Oryza sativa Japonica Group: one gene and its partners. Each later gene encodes a partner of the first gene's protein in a complex. Links are inferred from orthologs where the notes say so. Each region holds a gene or a part of one and is shown on either strand. Other genes may lie near its edges.

Region 1 (4,298 bases):
TAACCAAACTTTCAATTTTGATGTTAACTAAACATACAATAATTTTTCTTCTGTCAGTCTGGGAGCATGCACTTTGCGAGACGGATGTTCGGAACTTCGGATGCAGTGGCTAATCGATCTCCGAGACTTGTTGATTAACCATGTTACGTAACATTATTATTTTTCTCTTCAGTTTTGTTATCTCTGAAAAATAATTTTTCTTTCGTTTTATTTGTTGGGATAATATATAATTATGTGTTTTTAAACAAAATTTAAGTTGTTTTGCTTCTTGTAATAACATGATCAATTGATCATATGAATGGGTTGTTAAGATTGATGCCATTTCAAATCATACCATTTTTTTTGGTAAAGTTGTTAAATATGTGCATCAATTTAATTTTTACCAAACTCTGATAAATACATAAGATATCATATCAAAATTTGGCAATATTGCCAAATTGAAAAAAAATTGGTAAGGTTTATTTTGGCTACAATCTGAATAGGCCCGAAATGTTTCTTTAATGGGACATCCAAGTCCGATCATACATTTAGGAATAAGTCTATTTTCACCTCACTCATCCCTTGCTGTTGGTCAAATGACATCCTTAAACCACAAAACAGGATATAACACCTCCCCCAACTTCAAAAACCAGTTTTTCATTCCGTCGGTGGTTTTGAAAGCGGTTCTTGCTGATGTAGCAATTTGGCTTGGTTAAGGTGGTATCTCAGTCATTAAAAGAATTAAAAATATAAATGGGTCTCACATGTAAGTGGTAAGGATGAAAATAAACAAAAACAGGGGAAGGGGTAGTTGTCAGCCCCACTCCTCCTTCTTCAATCTGTACACACCGCAAGCCACACCGCCGCACTTTGACGTGTCATAGTGCGGCTTGAAGCACATACAAATTGAAGAAGGGAGGAATGGAGCTGACAATTGGGTCCCAAATTTTTTTATTTTCATTCTTATCACTTACATATAGGACAAATTTCTATTTTCAATTGTTTTGATGACCGGGCTACCACGTCAGCATACCTAAACCAAAGTCAAATTGCCATGTCAGCAAAAGCCGCTTCCAAAACCATCTAAGGAGTCAATCTAAACCCGTTTTTGAAGTTGGAATGTTAGACTCGGTTTTACGGTTAAGGGATGCGATGCGACCAAGGGCAAAAAGAAAAAGAAAAAGAAAAAGAAGAGAGAGAGAGAGAGAGAGGTGAAACAGACTTATTCTGACATTTTAAGCTCAGGTTGGCCCAGCCTTGGCGTCATCTTCGTCTTCCCCAGCCCGCCAGATTGGCCCAGCCATGGCCTAGACGGCTGCCTCCCCGTCCCATTCCGGCGTCGATCTGCTCCGCTGTCTATCCGCGCCGCCGACCTCCTCGCATCGCCGATCCAAGTCGGTCCACCGAATCGAATTTCTACCGTTTTTCTTTGCTTTTCGGTTTCGTTCTCCGTTTTGGTTTTTTATCGTAGTTCCGTTCTGGGGTTTTATTTCGAATTGCCGTTTGCTCTCAGAAAACCGTACTTCCAAAATAAGCAAGCGAAACCTCCGGAACCAGTGTTCGGCCCAAGGCCCATCTCTCCTCTACGTCCGGCGGCGGCGCATCCCGGCCTCGCGCTCCGGCGGCGGCGGCCAGTCTGAGGCGGAGCGGCACCGCGGCACGGGAGGGCAGGGCGCAGCGGCGACGGCGAGGAAGCCAACCGGGCGCGGCAGCAAGGGAGACCGCGTCTTGTCTGCACGGCTCCATTAGCGGCTGGAGGTGGGACTGGAGCCGGGAGACCCAACTAGCGTCCACCGCCTCTCCGCCACCGCCGCCGCCGCCTCCCGCAACTTAGGGGGTTTTGCTGCGCCGGCGCGGCTCCAATCCGCTCCGGGGCGGACCTCGCCGGTCGACGGCCGCCATGTGAGCCCCCCATCGCCGTTTCCGCTCGTCACCGCTTGGTGTTCGTTAATGGCAGGCAGGCTGATCTCTACGTCTTCCTCCTCCTCCTCGCAGGGGCTTCGCGCGCGTGGAGCTGCGGTGCCCTAGGGCCCTCGACCCCCGCCCGAGCTGGACCCTCGGCGACGTCCTCACCGAGCTCGACGCGCTCGAGGCCACTCGCCGCACCGCGCAGCCCACGCCCCTCAAGCAGCCGCCGGAGTGGTATCTCTATTCTCCAATCCCTTGCGCTCCCTTGCTTATGGTTTCGCCGATAAGCTGCAATCGTTTCCCTCTACATTGCTTCTATATGATTTTTTTTTGGTTCATTTAGGGCTAGCAGTGGCAGCGTGAGGGAGAAGGCCTTTGTGATGCGGGTTGAAGAGGAAGATGACACGGATGAGGACGATTACGACAGTGATGGGGAGTCCCGGGCTCTTGTGGCCAAGGCCACTGGAGCAAGGTTCTCATGCAATGATCTTGAATCCAGGTGAAGATTTGATGCTGAAATTTGGCCACTGCAATTGCAATTTATTTGCTTTGAAGTACGGTACATTATCTGCAATTAAGTTTAAATGAATGGCGTATTGTGTGAGATATCCCCTTCTTTTGTTTTCTTCCTAGTGATGCTGAAGAATCAGAGGATGAAATGGATGGCAGGATTGCACCATATCACCTGATGGAGAAACGGAGCCTAGAGAAGAGCATTCTGCTTGAGCTGGAACGTGAGCATCATCTGAAAGTTCAAGTGTGTATTCATCAATCTATACTGTTATATCTTTCTTACTGAATGCAGTACTTATGGGCTGATTTTTCTTTGATGTGTTGGCAATAGACCATTGAATTATTTTCATTACCATTAATCCTCATTCTAGTTTAGGGTTACCATGGCATTAGGTTACACTTTACGGATCAACTTTATATCTTTTTCCTCACCTTTATGTAGGTATTTTAAGCTATCCAGGCATGTGGATGCTTCCATTATCTTTCATCTTTCTAAGGTTATACTGTATATGAATTCCTGAATGAAGCTTTTGTTTGTTCCCTTTAAGGTTAGTGTAGTGCCACACTGATATGGTTGGATAATGACATGATGAAATTTCAAGAAAAACAATACATCACTTCTGTTAGTTGCTACTTGAAGAAGATTTTTCAAATACAATACTGCATTTACTTCAAATTGGATATTGTGATCCAAGAAGTTTAACATAGAAAGCCAACAGGGATGTCATATGACTAAATTTCTAAGTATTGGGTATCATAGTACTAATTATCTTTTTGGCTGATGTTGCATGCCTTTATTTTTTACCATGATGGATTTATTAAATCTGCTGAATCCTTTTTGTTCATTTTCTTCATATGATTTTTTTTCTTCAGGAGGAAGTCAGAAGTAAACTATCTGCATTGGAGGTATGCCACCAAAGTGAAATCCAGCGAACAGTTTCTGCATTTGCTCGACTACAGAAATACGCAGAATCAAGAAAAGAGATAGACAGAAGGCTAGATGTCCACTTCCAGAGAAAAATGTATGTTTTTGTTGTTGAATTGTTTCTCCTGTGTCTTTTTAAATCTACATTTCATGATTACTGTTGATTTTTCAAATTTTGAGGAAACTGTATGTTTTACAAGGTCTTTGGTGATGCAATTTTCTGGGACTAGGGTTAACTTCTGTACTAGTTTGTTCTCTTTTGTTACTGGAGGATTTTCTGTGGCACATATCAAGATATTCTTGTACTAGTTTGTCAAGACTGAATTTTTATTGGTGGTTGCTTTGTAAAGTTATGCCATTTTTATTTGTCATAACTCAATTTATTTTATTGTAAAGAGGGCTTACAAAGTGCTAAGTTTTTCATTCCAATATAGTTTATTACTCCTGAGTGGAAAAGGTATATATTCATGAAGGCTGACGGACCTTGCTAGTAGCTACACAGTTTATCATGGATTATTTCTAGTGCACATAGTTTTGAAGAGAAAACAATCATCTCCTATATGCACAAATTCCAATATAAAGGTTTATTGGGTGATTGTGGACTAATACTAAGATCCTTAATGTTTCCTCCACCATTTGCTATTATCCTCATCGTTATTTGGTTAAATTTGCTACTTAAATGATCAATGAGAAATTCCAAGCCCAAGGTTTCAGCTCTTTACATTTTGCAGCAATTTATATATTCTATTCACAACTGATTAAATCGTGTGGGTTTAACGTACAAATATTCCATACTTATACCTGTGGTGTTTGGTCAAATGATTAGCGACTGAGACTAAGGGTTGACTATTTTTTAAATGCTCTATTTGTGTTATATAAGGAATTAACTATCTGTGACACAATTATATAGTTTTTGTACTTCTTTGTGTAGTAACTTTATGTTCCAGTTCAATCATTAGCACTGTAAATATTT
Region 2 (6,678 bases), on another chromosome or scaffold:
AGTTTTCGATTCAGGGAAAAAATAGAGTTTTCCAAAGCTTTTTCAAACAGGCTCTAAGCTTCTAATTTCAACATCAAGGGTAGGGGTGGATACTGACATGACTCGGCTCGGTCTACTCGTTAGGATAACGAGCCGAATCCTAACTCGGCTCGACTGGCAACTCTAGCTAGCTTGTTTAGCTCGCGAGCCAATACATCCGTGACTCAATAGAAATCTCTCACTTCGAGATTCTGGCTGCCAACAATTTTTTTTGCAATTGCTTAAGAAATCAAACAACCGACAAATCACAAAGACTTGGCACAAATTTTTTTTTACACATTGCATCCATAAAAACAGATCTGAAAGTCTCGTCATATTGGAACCAAACAAAACACCAAGCAAACACCCTAGTGAATCCTAGACCAACCAAAATTAACATGGGAGATTGACTTGCCGAAGTGCCGAACTGCCGACGGCGACGAGGACGGCAAGATTGAACTTTTGCTCCTTGATTTATAACTTGTAGCGCTGTCGATGGAGTTGCATGCTCTTGCATCCTGCAGCAGGGGACCTTCACCCTGCTTGTTCGTCTTCCTCACGACGACGAGACTGAGACAAGGCCACGCTTGCCACGGAGTTGGCCGACCGGCTGGAGCGGCGACGAGAGGAAGCGCGGCACCGTGAGCTCACAAACCACGCTGTTGCTGCCCCCTAGAGGCTGGTGGTGACGGCCAGGTCGTCGACGATGCCGGCGTGAGGGCTTGGGCGACACTATGGCGATGTGATACTGGACAGAAACAGCGTGCGCTGTAGATTGGGGAATGGGGAAATCAATCGATCTATTTGATATAACTAGGGTTTAGTGGAAATCAGTGGATCTGATGGGCCTTAGGCCTACAAATAACAATGCGATCCACCTCAGCACTCCTGGGCTGCTTTGTTTTTCCATGGCTCATTTAGCTCGCGAGCCAGCTTGAGCTCGCTCGTTATAGCAAACGAGCTAACCCTGGCTTAGCCCGTTAATAAATACAAACGAGCCGAGTCGAGTTAGTCACGAGCTATGAGCTTTTTGGTATATTTTTGTTATAGTTTTTAGGGTTAATTGGATCCATGCCACTGTAAATGTGGCAAATTAGAAAAATACCACTACTATTTGTTTTATTGGCTAGGTGCCACTACAAATTTTTAAAATTGAAACCATGCCACTCCGTCACTATTTCTGTCGTTCTCTCTCACGTCGTCATCCTCTAATCTCACGTAGGCACGGCGAGGGCAAGAAGACGAGGCGGCCGCCGGCGAGGACGTCGCGAGCGCGGGGAGCGGCTGCGGCCACGGCCGGCGAGGATGGAGACGGACGCCGAGTGGTTGAACAGCAGCTTGCCGACGTCGCGGACGGCAGAGCCAACAGGTCGAGGAGGCGGAGTGGCGGAGTTGCCGGCCGGCGTCATGGCCGCCATGCCGCCGTGCTAACCGTGCAGAGGCTGCATCCACGCCACCATGCCGCCATGACACGCACCGCGTGCTTGACGCATACGAACATGGACCTGGCATTGACAGCCATGACGCGGTCGTACTCGTCGATGTCGAGCACGCCGAGCGAGTCCGGAGCCTGTGCTCCTATGATCCGGCGTTGCTGTAGAGGACGTCGAGGCGGCCGTGGCGCGTAATGGCGAGGTCAACGGTCGCGGCAACATCCGCCTTGACAGTGACATCGCTGTGCGTGTACAACGCGCGTCAGCGCCGAGCTTGGCAGCGACGGCACGGCGTTCGCCCGCTGCTGCTCTCGCTCCCCATGCCATCGCCACCGCCGGAGTGCCGCCGCGGGGTTCCGTTGCTGCTGCTCCTGCTCCCGCTCCCGGAGCGCGCCGGAGTGCCGCCCGCGACCCGCCGCGTCGCCCCGAATCGTCAACTGCCGCGCCGTCGTTGGGGGCGGGCTGCGCCGCGGCGGCCTTGTGCTGCTGCTGTTGTGTGTACCGTCGCTACCGTAAGTGGTGGTCGCCGGGGGAGCCGAGGCGGCGAGCCACCAGACTAGCTCGTCGGCGGGGCTCTCCCTGACCAAGCCACTATGCACGCAGTCCATGGAGGACGAGAGCTGCTCGTGGAGGACATGGAGATGCACGGCGAGGATGAGCTCCTCTTCCTCAACGGCGTCCGACGAGAAAGGTGGTAATGCATAGCGGCAACCGCGCGAGGAACGAGGCCCGCAGCTGCGGCAACCGGCATTGTGAAAATCAACGATGGGAACGGCGCCGGAGGTGAAGAAGATGAAGGCCGATCTCCCCGTTCCCCGTGTCTCCGGCTGAGGTTCTTGAGGCTTCTTGAAGAGGACGTCGAGGCGACGACGGTGGCGCCATGGCTTGCTCCGGCGTGCTCCGGTTTGACGGCGACAAAGACGATGTCCCGGTGATGGCGTCTAGTCCCGGCAGCCCCCACGGCGGCACGGACCATAGAGTTAGGAAATTAACGGGGGAACGACGGAAAAGGCGACGGGATGGCATGGATTCAATTTCCCAAAATTCCAGCGGCACCTAGCCAATATCGTAAATAGTAGTGGTATTTTTCTAATTTGATACATTTACAATAGCATGGATCCAATTAACCCTAGTTTTTATCATAGGTCATTTATATAACAAGTTTTGTGGAAGATTCAAAATATCATTTTTTTGGCAATTTATGTCCCAAATATACTACCAAGCATAAAAAAAATAAAATACCAATTCTATTTCTGCCGTGAATTATTATGGAAGTAAAGAGAAACCGTTCAAATGATAAGGAAGGCAAACCTTGCAGAGAAGGGAATTATCAATCGGAACACATCGCTGCGCGTGTTCATCATACTACCTACGAAAGTACGAAGCCGTCAGGAAGGAAGAGCCCTCAAAAAACGTTTACCACTTAACCCCCTTGAAACTCCTTGTAATCACCATCCCACCCCACCCCCCCTCCGTCCCCCACGGGGCTCTTCTTCCCCCGGTTATTCGTTCGCCTCTCCCAAAACCCTAGCCCTCCGCGAGCGCGCGATCCCCGAAACCCTAACCCCGCCTTCCCCTCCACATCGGCGCCGTCACATGGCCTCCCGGGGAGCCTACGACGGCGGCTCCGGCGCCGGAGGCAAGATCCGGAGGCGCCCCCCGTCCCGCGCCGCCGCCGCCTCGCCCTACGCGCGCCCCGCCCCCGCATCCGCGGCGACGCGCCTCGGCGGCGGCGGCGGCGGCGGCGGCAGCGGCGGGTGGTTCTCCCGCCTCGTGGCCAGCGGCGCCTCGCTCCTCCTGCCCTCCGTGTTCCGCAAGCCGCCGCCGCCGCAGCCGGAGCACGAGCGGGAGCGGGAGCATCTCGGCGAGCCGCCTTCGCTGCCCGAGTTGCTCGAGGAGGCGCCCTCGCAGGCGGAGACGCTCGATACTCCGCCGTCGCCTCCGCCTCCGCCTCTAGGTTTGTTTGACCGCGTTCGCCGCTAGCTTTGTTGGGGCCCTGTTGGTGTTGTGTGATGTTGTGCAGTTTGGTGCAATCATTTCGCATAGGCCAAACCAACTCTAAATCTCTGTAGTCGATTAATTTAGTAGCTTCAATCAATGTAGATCGGCATGTTGCGTTGCATATGGACTCTTAGCTATGTTACTATGTAGTAGCTGTTGTTTATTTTGTCCGTTCTTCCGACGATTGGGGGATGACGGCGTAATCGATGCTTTCATACAAAGTGGCGATTGTCGGTTCACGTGTTGTTAGTGACTGCTGGCAAACTTACAAAGTTTCCTGTTGTTTGTATACACAGAAGATGACATTCCGGAAGAAGAAGAAGAGGGCACCGGAACCGTGGCTAATGTAAGCTGGCTCTGTAAATGCATATTGTAAATTTGCGTATTCCACGTTGTACTTGTCGGATAATAACCTACTAGTTATCATGGTTAGATGTTTGCTATGCTTTTTTAAGCACTATAAGTTTATATAGAAATTAAAACATTGACTTCTATTTTAAGCCGGTAGAATTTAACCTCTTTCACTTGAAATATATGGTCGTTATTATTCTTGCAAGATTTATTAATTGATACTTCTTTGAATGGATAATAAGATAACATGTGTAACCATATGAAGTCTTCTTAAGTTACACACTTACATTTTTGTCCAGTGCCAGTGCTACTTATTTTACCTTGATACCCTATTGAATCTTCCATATGATCAAGTTCCTAAACACATGTTGCTTTATATGTGGAATCTGTCCATTGTCAATCCTCAGAATTCTGCCAAAGATGGAGATGACATTCTTAGAAGGTCTGATAGCTATGACGTTATGGATCTTGAAGAACTATTGAAACAGAGGACATTCACGAGGCAAGTACCTGTTTTTGTATAACATTAATAGGCTCATGTTTAGCAAGTAATTTGAGCAGTATTAGATTTGTTGCTAGCATTTCAGTAACTGGTAGGCATAGGTACCGCCGATATATCTTTTAATTGCATAATACCCCAAATACAGCATACACCTAAGGAACTGAACTTGATCTGCAATGATGGGGTACATCCATGAAGTTCATAACACAGCATCACACTATTACCATGAAATGATTTGTACTAATAATAATTTCTATGTGACCAAGAAAATATAAACCATGAGGCTATAGAAAACATGGGTTTCCCTAACTGGTTTTTCTTTTTTTAGGAGAAAAAGAAGTGTACTTCAGTTCTAAAGCTGGGAACTAAGAAATGGACAGTTGTATGGCATTTACTTTGGTATTAGTTAGTTGTAGAAAATACCATTGACATTTCTGGAAGGTTCTGTTACCTTAGATAATTTTTCTTACCCGTGTCTTCTTTTTCTCATACGTTTGTTTATGCTACCACATTCTCTCCTGTACCTTCTCCCTTCTTTTTTTCTCACTTACCGAGACCAATTTTCTGTGGTGAAGTTATACTTCATTGTTAATGTCATGAACCGAGGCCATGATGGCATAACCACCACTGGGAGGGTAGCCGGGCGGCGCCGGCTATTGGAGAAGGGATGTATATTTAGACTAGGGATAAGAAGATATTAAGGAAAGAAATTATACTAATCTGATTCATTGCTTAATGATAATAGACACAATCCCATCCTTATATAGATTATATAACTTGATCCTTAAGTAAGGACTCAATCTAATCTTTGACTGATAATCTTATCTCTATATGGGCTGCTTATGGCCCTCAGCCTTTTGGCTCAATGCTCATCACAATTAACTTACTTTATTGTAGTTCCATTTAGGCTGGTATACATTGGAGAACACTAAGAAAATTGATACATCCTGCATAGAAAAAGAAGTTCGCATTTTCTTTGTAGCAGTTAATGCATCAGCCTGCAGTTGTATATGATTTGCGTACATGATTTGTATGGAGTAGCAATGCAGTTGGGGGAACACATCTTCTTGATAGTTCAATCCTCATTTATCCTTTAATACTTCCATGCTTCTGTATGAGTTGAAGTGCAATGCCATGTTTTCTTTGCTAGATCCTATTGTTGTGAATACCTGTTTTGCCTATTGCATTGTAACTTGCAAATTTGTTTTGCTAATGTCCAAGTGTACAGTAGAAATGCGAAAACATATTTCTATCTTACAAATAATTTTCTGTCTTGCAGGAGTGAATTTGAATATTTGTCTGAGTTGTTGTTATCTAGAACGGTTGGGTCCAAATTATTGATTCCAGGAGTTGGTAATATGAAGAAAATGCATTTTCCTGAGAAGGCAAGTCGATCTGGAGACTTACCTGTTGATTTCTCCTTTAGAACATTCAACACTTCTGTTAATACGCAAGTCATGTTGCTCACTAAATATTCCTGTTCATATGATGAAATTGATTTCTTTTACAATCACCCATACTGTACTGTACAGAACATAATTTAAAGTGTTGAAGCAACAATATAATTTCTTATTTTTAAGATACTAGAAAAAATGCCCGTGCGTTGCAATGGGTAAATGCTATTTTAATTTTATTGTTGTTATATGGTTTAGCTAGGGTAAAATTCACTGTGGGAATTCGCTTGGATATTTTTTTTTGAAAATCATAAGCTGCAAGAGTCCGTATATCATCTCAAGTTAGCATGCGAGTTTTTTTAATGATATTTCTTATACGACTCCTTCTGTATTTCCAAAAGCAAATGAGCTTAAAATCCAACTCAAACACGGATCTGTATTTCTAAAAGTGAACGAACTTAAAAACCGACTCAAACCCGGATGACATACCAAAATACCGGCAAAAACATCTTCAATTTTTATAATAGTAGAGATATGGCATATTGTTGAGTTAAAACCCTTGACCAGCAGAATAGTTTGTTATTTTTTTTTCGAAGTTGAGGAAAGCATATCATAGGTCCCCCTTATTCCCTAAATTTTTGCAGGTCACTTGGGTCTCTGGATTTGAGTGGGTACATAAAATTGTATAAGTGGGTCAACAAAGTCATCCTACTTTTTTTTTTGGTATACTTGTATAAGTGGTCTGTAGTTGCTTATTAGGCATGGTTTAAACCTGTACTTATGCACATACACATGTTTAGGGGCCTATATGTGCAATTTTCGACTTTAGAAACCCAACTTTTAGTAGTCCCTGGTACACATACTTCTTTTTTCTATTCCTACATGAGTTTCACTTGCGATTCTATCTACATTTGCCACAAAATAGCAAAGCTCGTACCATGAACTATTTTATCTCCTGACACATTTGTTGTTTATACCA
Region 3 (6,763 bases), on another chromosome or scaffold:
ATCTAAGCATGGATACCACGGTTACAGGAAACCTTGTACATGTGGGGGTGTTTGCAACTGCCAATAACACAGAAACATGAGAACCTTATGCAACTAATGGTCGTTATTCAGCTGCATGTGATGAGATACGAGGAATTTTTTTGCTCATGTTTTCTTTCTAATTGTGTCGGATGTGTTTGTGCCTCAGTTTCTGCATTCTGAAGAGAAATTCAGGGAGATATACACACATGGTTTTACAGAAGAAAGATACAGGGGCACATGACACTTAATCTGATATTCATGCATTAGCTGATGTTTCATGTGTGTGTAGGACCAATTAGGGCTTAATTATAGCAGCAAACTAACAGTCATGTGAGAAGATATCAAGGTTTCAGATTATGCCTGGCAAACGTTAGATAGCTGCTCCATTTCTGAAAATGGCAGAGGTACTAATTATAACGACATATACAATAGTCGATATCTTTCGTCAGTACTATATATATGCTCTGCAAGATTAGCTCTATGACAAAATGCTTTTTCATGGTCGAAAAGAAGTGCAAACATAAACCAAATGTGCTGATAGAGTCTTAAAGAAAAACTAAATGTGCTGATACCATTCATCCGACCAGATCGTTGGCCACATTTTGTGCGATCTTGCTGTCGTAAGGATGCCCAGCTAGCTAACCGCTCCTGTCAAATGCTGATGAACAGGTAGCACATGCAATTAGATAATGACGCGTCAGCGCTGTTGATACGATGGCTGCATGCAGAGGAGGAGATATATATGGATTAAGATCACAGATCACTCCTGCTGTCATTAGAATTCTGAGGTTTGATGAATTGCTTAATACTCCGATCCAAGCTATACTGAATATTACGTATACTGATCATGATCATGATCATAGCACACTCATGTATGGATGCAGACATAGTGGCCATACTGTCCAATCATCCGTATGACAGAGATCTATATATGCATCAAGGTTTTTAGGATCTTCACGTTTTGCTGTCTTGTCTGGCTGGCCCGTAGCTGATGCTCGTGTCCAGAAATAAGCAGGCAGAGAAACAGTTCGTCAGAATGGGCAGCATAGTATTTTTTTTTTCTCCAACGCGCGAAAACCTTACATGCTCGTATATATTAACAATTTAACAGAAGAAAAAACTTTTACAACTGCGACCAACTGACACAATCATAGGAGGTTATAAGGGAAAGGGGGAAAAATTAATCAGGCATGAAGCTAATATCAAAGGGCAAATTAATCTAGCTAGCTACTACAGCTAGCACCAGCATGAGCAAATATACAACAGGGTTGCATTAACTGATCGATCAGCTAGCTCCCCTCATGGTGATCATAGAGATGACGACGAAGACGCAGTGTGGATCGATATGAAGGAGAGATCAGCTTGCAGCTGCAGCTATGCAAGCTCACTGAGGCTTTCATCGGATGGCCTAATCAATCAAAGAAAAAGCTAAATTTTAAATTTTCAAACTTAATTTTAATATTGATTTTGAGATATTTTCAACGTAACTTCTTTTTCAGCATTGACTTTTAAGTCACCAAGAACACATATATAAAAGTTTTATCTATAAATTTATTTCTATTTTCTAATAAGCCGTTAGAAAAAGGGCTTGACAGTTGTACGAGACGACGGCAACGGCACCGTACGCCGTCACGGCTGCGATATGAATCCACGGCAAGTGATCCGATGCATGCATGTGTTGCAGGGATGCAATTGCGGCAGTGCCTGCCTTGTGGTGGGGACGTGATGCTGTTGGATCATCGATGGATGGATCGAGCAGGCTGCAGGCAGATCGGCAGGCGGTGTCGTCGATGCGTCATGCACGGCCGGTCCGTCCGTCGACATGCATGGAGATTGGAGACGACAGCCGACAGGCAAGGCCATGACTGCAACCCATTAATGTATAACTCCGGGTTTCCTGGTATTCATCGTGCCAGTGGAGGAAGCAGATATATCTAACGTTAGTATTACCGTAACTAACGTGTACAGTAGGCCCTATCATTCTCGGCCTCATATGTTAACCATCACGTCAGAGAAAAGTTACATTAGAGGATCTAAATCCCCGATGAGTGGGTGTTTTAATTGCTCCCTGTTGATATGTCTCACCAGTTATGTTTTCCTTTTGAGAAAAACAATGAAAATGTTGAGATTCATAACGTACGCACCCTCTCACCCTATAAAAACACACATGTAAACCTCATCCTTATGAGCACATTTAAAAAACTGGGCTAGCAAATCTTGAGATTAACAAATAAGTCACTACGTTGCTTACCACTGAAAAAAAATAAATGCGAGTACCCGTATCAAATCTTACTTGGACTCGAATGGGTTAGTTCCACCATAAAAAATCTAATCAACTAAATCATAAGAAATCTAATCTGTTGAGCTACGCTCATCTCAAACATTTAATTTCTAACACCTAATATGCACAAACACACACAATATTACATGCGCTTATCAATATACCCTTAAAACACAGTAAAAAAATATTACTTCCTCCGTTTCACAATGTAAGTCATTATAATATTTCCCACATTCATATTGATGTTAATGAATATTCATTAACATCAATATGAATGTGGGAAATATTATAATGACTTACATTGTGAAACGGAGGAAGTAGCAACAAATACCTGATGTTACTAAAATACTAATAAAAGCTTTACATACGCGTATATAATTTTTATGGTAATATACTAATGTCTATAAGCAATTTTCTCATCTTTTGAAAGTGCCCGTAGGGGAAAGATATGTGTACGTGTATTCATAGGGGTGAGTGTGCGTAAGTTGTGAGCGTCTGCGCTGTAGTATGTTTCAAAAAATGTATTTTTAGAAGCATCTCAAAATATAATATTTTTGGACGGAGGTAGTGGAACAGCCCGACAGGTAGGTCCCACATGTCATGCCATTACGGGCTGGACCGGTTCACTTCCCTTCAAAAGCCCAAAAGCCCACTTATTTGTTTCTAAGGCCCATGGACAAGTAGGCCTGACCTGCCATCCCAAACCCCAAACCCCGCATTTCTCTTTCTCCGGCGGCAAGCACTCGACCTCGTCGGCGGCGATGACCCGCATCACCGCGCCGCCGCCGCCGTCCTCGCCGCCCTCATCCCCGCCTCCCCTCCGCCACTCCCCCGCTGCCCTGGGCACCCCGCGCTCCCGCCGCCGCCACTCGCCTTCCCCGTCCCTCGCGCTCACCCCGTCCTCCTCCGCCTCCGCCTCCGCCTCCGCCTCCACCTCGTCGAGGCCCAAGGTGCGGCCGTCGCCGAGGAGGGCCTACGCCGCGGCTCAGTGGGTGGCGCTCCCCTCTCACCCCGCATTCTCCCGCGGGGACGGCGGGGAGGGCCTCGGCGGCGGCGGTGGCGGCGCCGCGTGGGATGCGTCGGCGTCGCGGCTGTACGTGTGGGACCCTTCGGCGCGAGGCGTACACCGGATATGCGTGCGGGTTCGCGATGCGGAGGCGGGGAAGGACGGGGATGATGTCGCCGTGGAAGCCGCCGTGCCTTCCGAGGTGAGGTCGTTTCCTCTTGTGGTTGTGTCAGTTCTCACTTGTAAAAGTGATGCAATTCCTTTCTAGACACTGAACTGGAGGCATTTGTTTGAGTTTTCACGTTTGTGAATTAGGTCAACTTGCAATTCACTAACAAATGTTGTGCTAGTGAGTGCAAAAAATGGAATTCTTAGTGTCGCCTAGGGGGTTTGTAGTTTAAAATGTGTTGCAGGAAATAAACATATCGTGTCATGCTATTTTTGATACTGGAGGTAGTAATTAGTAGCTGATGTTGCCTATGCTGTCCAGATGTTGATGCCGGAGACTGATCTTGGTTACAAGGTCACTCATTTATCACTTAATACCGACGGTTCATCGCTACTACTTGCTGGATCACATAACATAAGTATTCTGTATGTGCATGAGAGGGTTTCTGAAGATGGTGATAAGGTCATATGCAGGTACATAAGTCCACTATAGCTTTATCTTATGTTATTAGTATTGTACTGGTATTTTTCCCGACCATCTTGCAATTATTTAAGCTGCAATAGGTTGTTGCATATATACATGCAGCATATTCATAGCCGTGAACACTAAGAGTAGGTTTCTCTGAGTACTCTTATCATCAGGGTATTGAAGAACGCAACTCCAAAATTTTATTTCACCTTGCTCTTTAGATTTATGACCTGAATCATTATTTCTCTTCCTTTTTTTAATATCATTACTCATATCTTCTTTCTTTCATTGTATTGACTTGTACATATGGACCTTACAACAGGACTGTGCCAGTTGCTTCTCAGATCTTACCTAGCAACAATGATGGCATCAAAGTACTGCAAACATCGTGGCACCCTTTTAGCAGTAGTCATTTTGGAGTCTTGACATCAGATGCTGTTTTCAGGTTTGATAAATGAGTATCGATGCTAGATGGAGGAATTCCACTTTATCTATGCTTCCTTGCTATTTATTGGATTTGATTGGAATGGAAATACGTCTTTTACATCCACACTTAAATTAATTGAAGACAACACTTGCTTTTAAAAATAATTATTGCATGACCCTTTTATAGAAGTTTTGTTATTATTTCTGCAGGTTATTTGATCTGTCATTTGATTTAGAGCAACCAGAGCAGGAGTTCTATTTGCAACCAATTCTACCTGGCAAATGCCAGAATGCTTCATCAATTTGTCCAGTGGCATTCTCATATGGGAGTGATCATCTGTGGGATAGATTTTCGGTATGTTTCTTGAATATTGATCCCCTAAATATTGTAGAAGTCATCTGGAAAAAAATATAGTAAATGATCTACAGTGTCTTTATTAGCTGAAAACAAAACCAGAATGATTTTTCATCCGATGGGATTGTTTTGTAATTTAGCAAGCAATATCATAGCATAGTTAATATTAAACCACAAAATAGGATATTAGAGTCCTACCCGAATTAGCCTTATAGAATCTACTCCCTCCGTCCTACAAAAAACCAACCTAGGTGGGGATGGGACACCACCTAGGACAATGAATCAGGACATGATTCATTGTCCTAGGTGGTGTCCCATCCCCACCTAGGTTGCCTTTTTTTGGGACGGAGGGAGTACTTGTTTGCTTCACACATGGGATTAACCTTGTAGTTTCTTTATTTACATCTGTAGCAAGATTTAGGGTGTCACAAGTCATATTACTACATAAATGAACTTGGCAGCTGATTGCATGGTTTCTACGCCCAAACCCTTTTTTTCTGGAACATCTAATAATGTTTGTCCCCACTATTCATGAAAGAGTTACTGGAATACTTTTGATACTTTATGCATCACTTTCTTTCATGTCACCTTTTCAATTGGTTGTTTCGACATATGTAATATTTTTAGTAGTTTCGGCATACTTCGTATGTTTAATGGCTCATTTATGTGCTTAATTTCACATGTAAGCCTGTCCTTTTACAGGTTTTCATCTTATTCAGCGATGGTTCAATTTTTGTGCTCTGCCCCATTGTTCCATTTGGAAGGTAAGTATTGCATTTATTTCTGCCCTCCCCCACCCCTCTTTTCTCTCTATTGGGAAGAAGGCTTACAACAATTTGACAGCATGATGGTCCTAATTTGTTAAAACAAAAAAAATACTGTACTAATTTTGTTTATGGGAAATAAATTATGGTCCCTGCAGTTTCACACTTTCACTTTGTAGTCTTGTATTTATGAAATGCGACCTTAATGATATGATCATATGGTGCCCTTTCTTTATCTGCATATTGGTTTTGACTTTATTTTTTTTCCCTGTGATGCAGCGATTACAATAAGAAGCATATTCAAGAAATATATGAAGATGTTAATTCATTTGGATTGAAATCCTCAAACCAAAATGTTGTCACCAACTCACGTTTGGCAATTGCTTGGTTGGAAGCAACGTTTCCTGACTTGTCACGTCAGCCAGCTGATAATAGTGCATTGATGTCTAGAGCTCATCCATACGCATCATTAGATGATTCTCTAACTTTACAGGTCTGCTTCTATTTGACTTGGTGAAATATTGTTCGAACCAAAAGCTAGTGGACTATGCTAATGCAATGACCAGAGAAATGTGAATTTGGTGCTCATGCAGCTGGTCATAATCAATCCATTGTTTTTTAGTATATGAGATTTATTGTTTTGTAGGAGTTAGGAGCTGATTGGTTTGCGACCAGACATTTCCACAACTTGCATGTAGCGGCGGTGTCTACCGCAGACATGTACCGCATTCACATGTCTGCATGAAAACTTTTGTGCTAGTACGATTTGCTGCCACAGTTTGGAATTGGTAGTGCGCCCCAGGGTTCACCTTTCTGATCGAAAACCGCAAAAGCCGCTCGGTTTTCGTGAAACTGTTGGGGATTGGTTTGTGAAAATTGAGTGTTTTTAGATGGTTTTCATACGGAGTTGACCAAATTTGTCAGATTTTACCCGTTTTTGCTTAGTTTTTGGTAAACCGAAAGTGGTTTTCACCTTGAAAATGGAAATGTGAACCCTGGTGTGCACAAGATTTGCGCTTCATTGGCTCAAGAATGGCCATAATTACTATTGTACTCAGTTTTGGTCATGACCTAAACCATGGATTAAGTTGTCCAGATAGTTCCCATGTTTTTCTGGGCCAGTTCGCAATGGCTATGACAGAAAGAAAGGAAAACAAGAGACAGCACTAACTAAAACTTCTGTCTTACAAAATCATGTATGATTTTTTTGACCGGAAAACATTAGGGGAGGCTATTTGACTTTATTACTCTAGGTCTACAAAATTCTGTAAAT

What was found. The genes of interacting proteins can lie anywhere in the genome.
Region 2: mRNA export factor GLE1 (region 1) and nuclear pore complex protein NUP1 share a complex: the UniProt entries of both Arabidopsis thaliana proteins name them as parts of the nuclear pore complex. The link is inferred for Oryza sativa Japonica Group from reciprocal best matches to the Arabidopsis thaliana genes GLE1 and NUP1.
Region 3: mRNA export factor GLE1 (region 1) and nuclear pore complex protein NUP88 share a complex: the UniProt entries of both Arabidopsis thaliana proteins name them as parts of the nuclear pore complex. The link is inferred for Oryza sativa Japonica Group from reciprocal best matches to the Arabidopsis thaliana genes GLE1 and MOS7.

The regions. Positions count from the first base shown.
Region 1 is NC_089036.1:23,620,042-23,624,339, reverse strand, and holds the start of mRNA export factor GLE1, read left to right. Parts: upstream 1-1,498; 5' UTR 1,499-1,879; coding exon 1,880-1,881; intron 1,882-1,974; coding exon 1,975-2,121; intron 2,122-2,230; coding exon 2,231-2,386; intron 2,387-2,520; coding exon 2,521-2,644; intron 2,645-3,273; coding exon 3,274-3,422; intron 3,423-4,298. UniProt on the Arabidopsis thaliana protein: Required for seed viability.
Region 2 is NC_089046.1:16,300,510-16,307,187, forward strand, and holds the start of nuclear pore complex protein NUP1, read left to right. Parts: upstream 1-2,925; 5' UTR 2,926-3,047; coding exon 3,048-3,408; intron 3,409-3,748; coding exon 3,749-3,798; intron 3,799-4,210; coding exon 4,211-4,305; intron 4,306-5,584; coding exon 5,585-5,690; intron 5,691-6,678. UniProt on the Arabidopsis thaliana protein: Nucleoporin required for nuclear mRNA export. Functions as an adapter and/or regulator molecule in the periphery of the nuclear pore complex (NPC). May interact with importin proteins and mediate active nucleocytoplasmic transport through the NPC.
Region 3 is NC_089038.1:31,296,207-31,302,969, forward strand, and holds the start of nuclear pore complex protein NUP88, read left to right. Parts: upstream 1-3,010; 5' UTR 3,011-3,063; coding exon 3,064-3,510; intron 3,511-3,798; coding exon 3,799-3,950; intron 3,951-4,267; coding exon 4,268-4,390; intron 4,391-4,581; coding exon 4,582-4,726; intron 4,727-5,428; coding exon 5,429-5,490; intron 5,491-5,769; coding exon 5,770-5,983; intron 5,984-6,763. UniProt on the Arabidopsis thaliana protein: Involved in the regulation of exportin-mediated nuclear protein export. Required for resistance mediated by multiple R proteins and for the appropriate nuclear accumulation of SNC1 and of the downstream defense signaling components EDS1 and NPR1.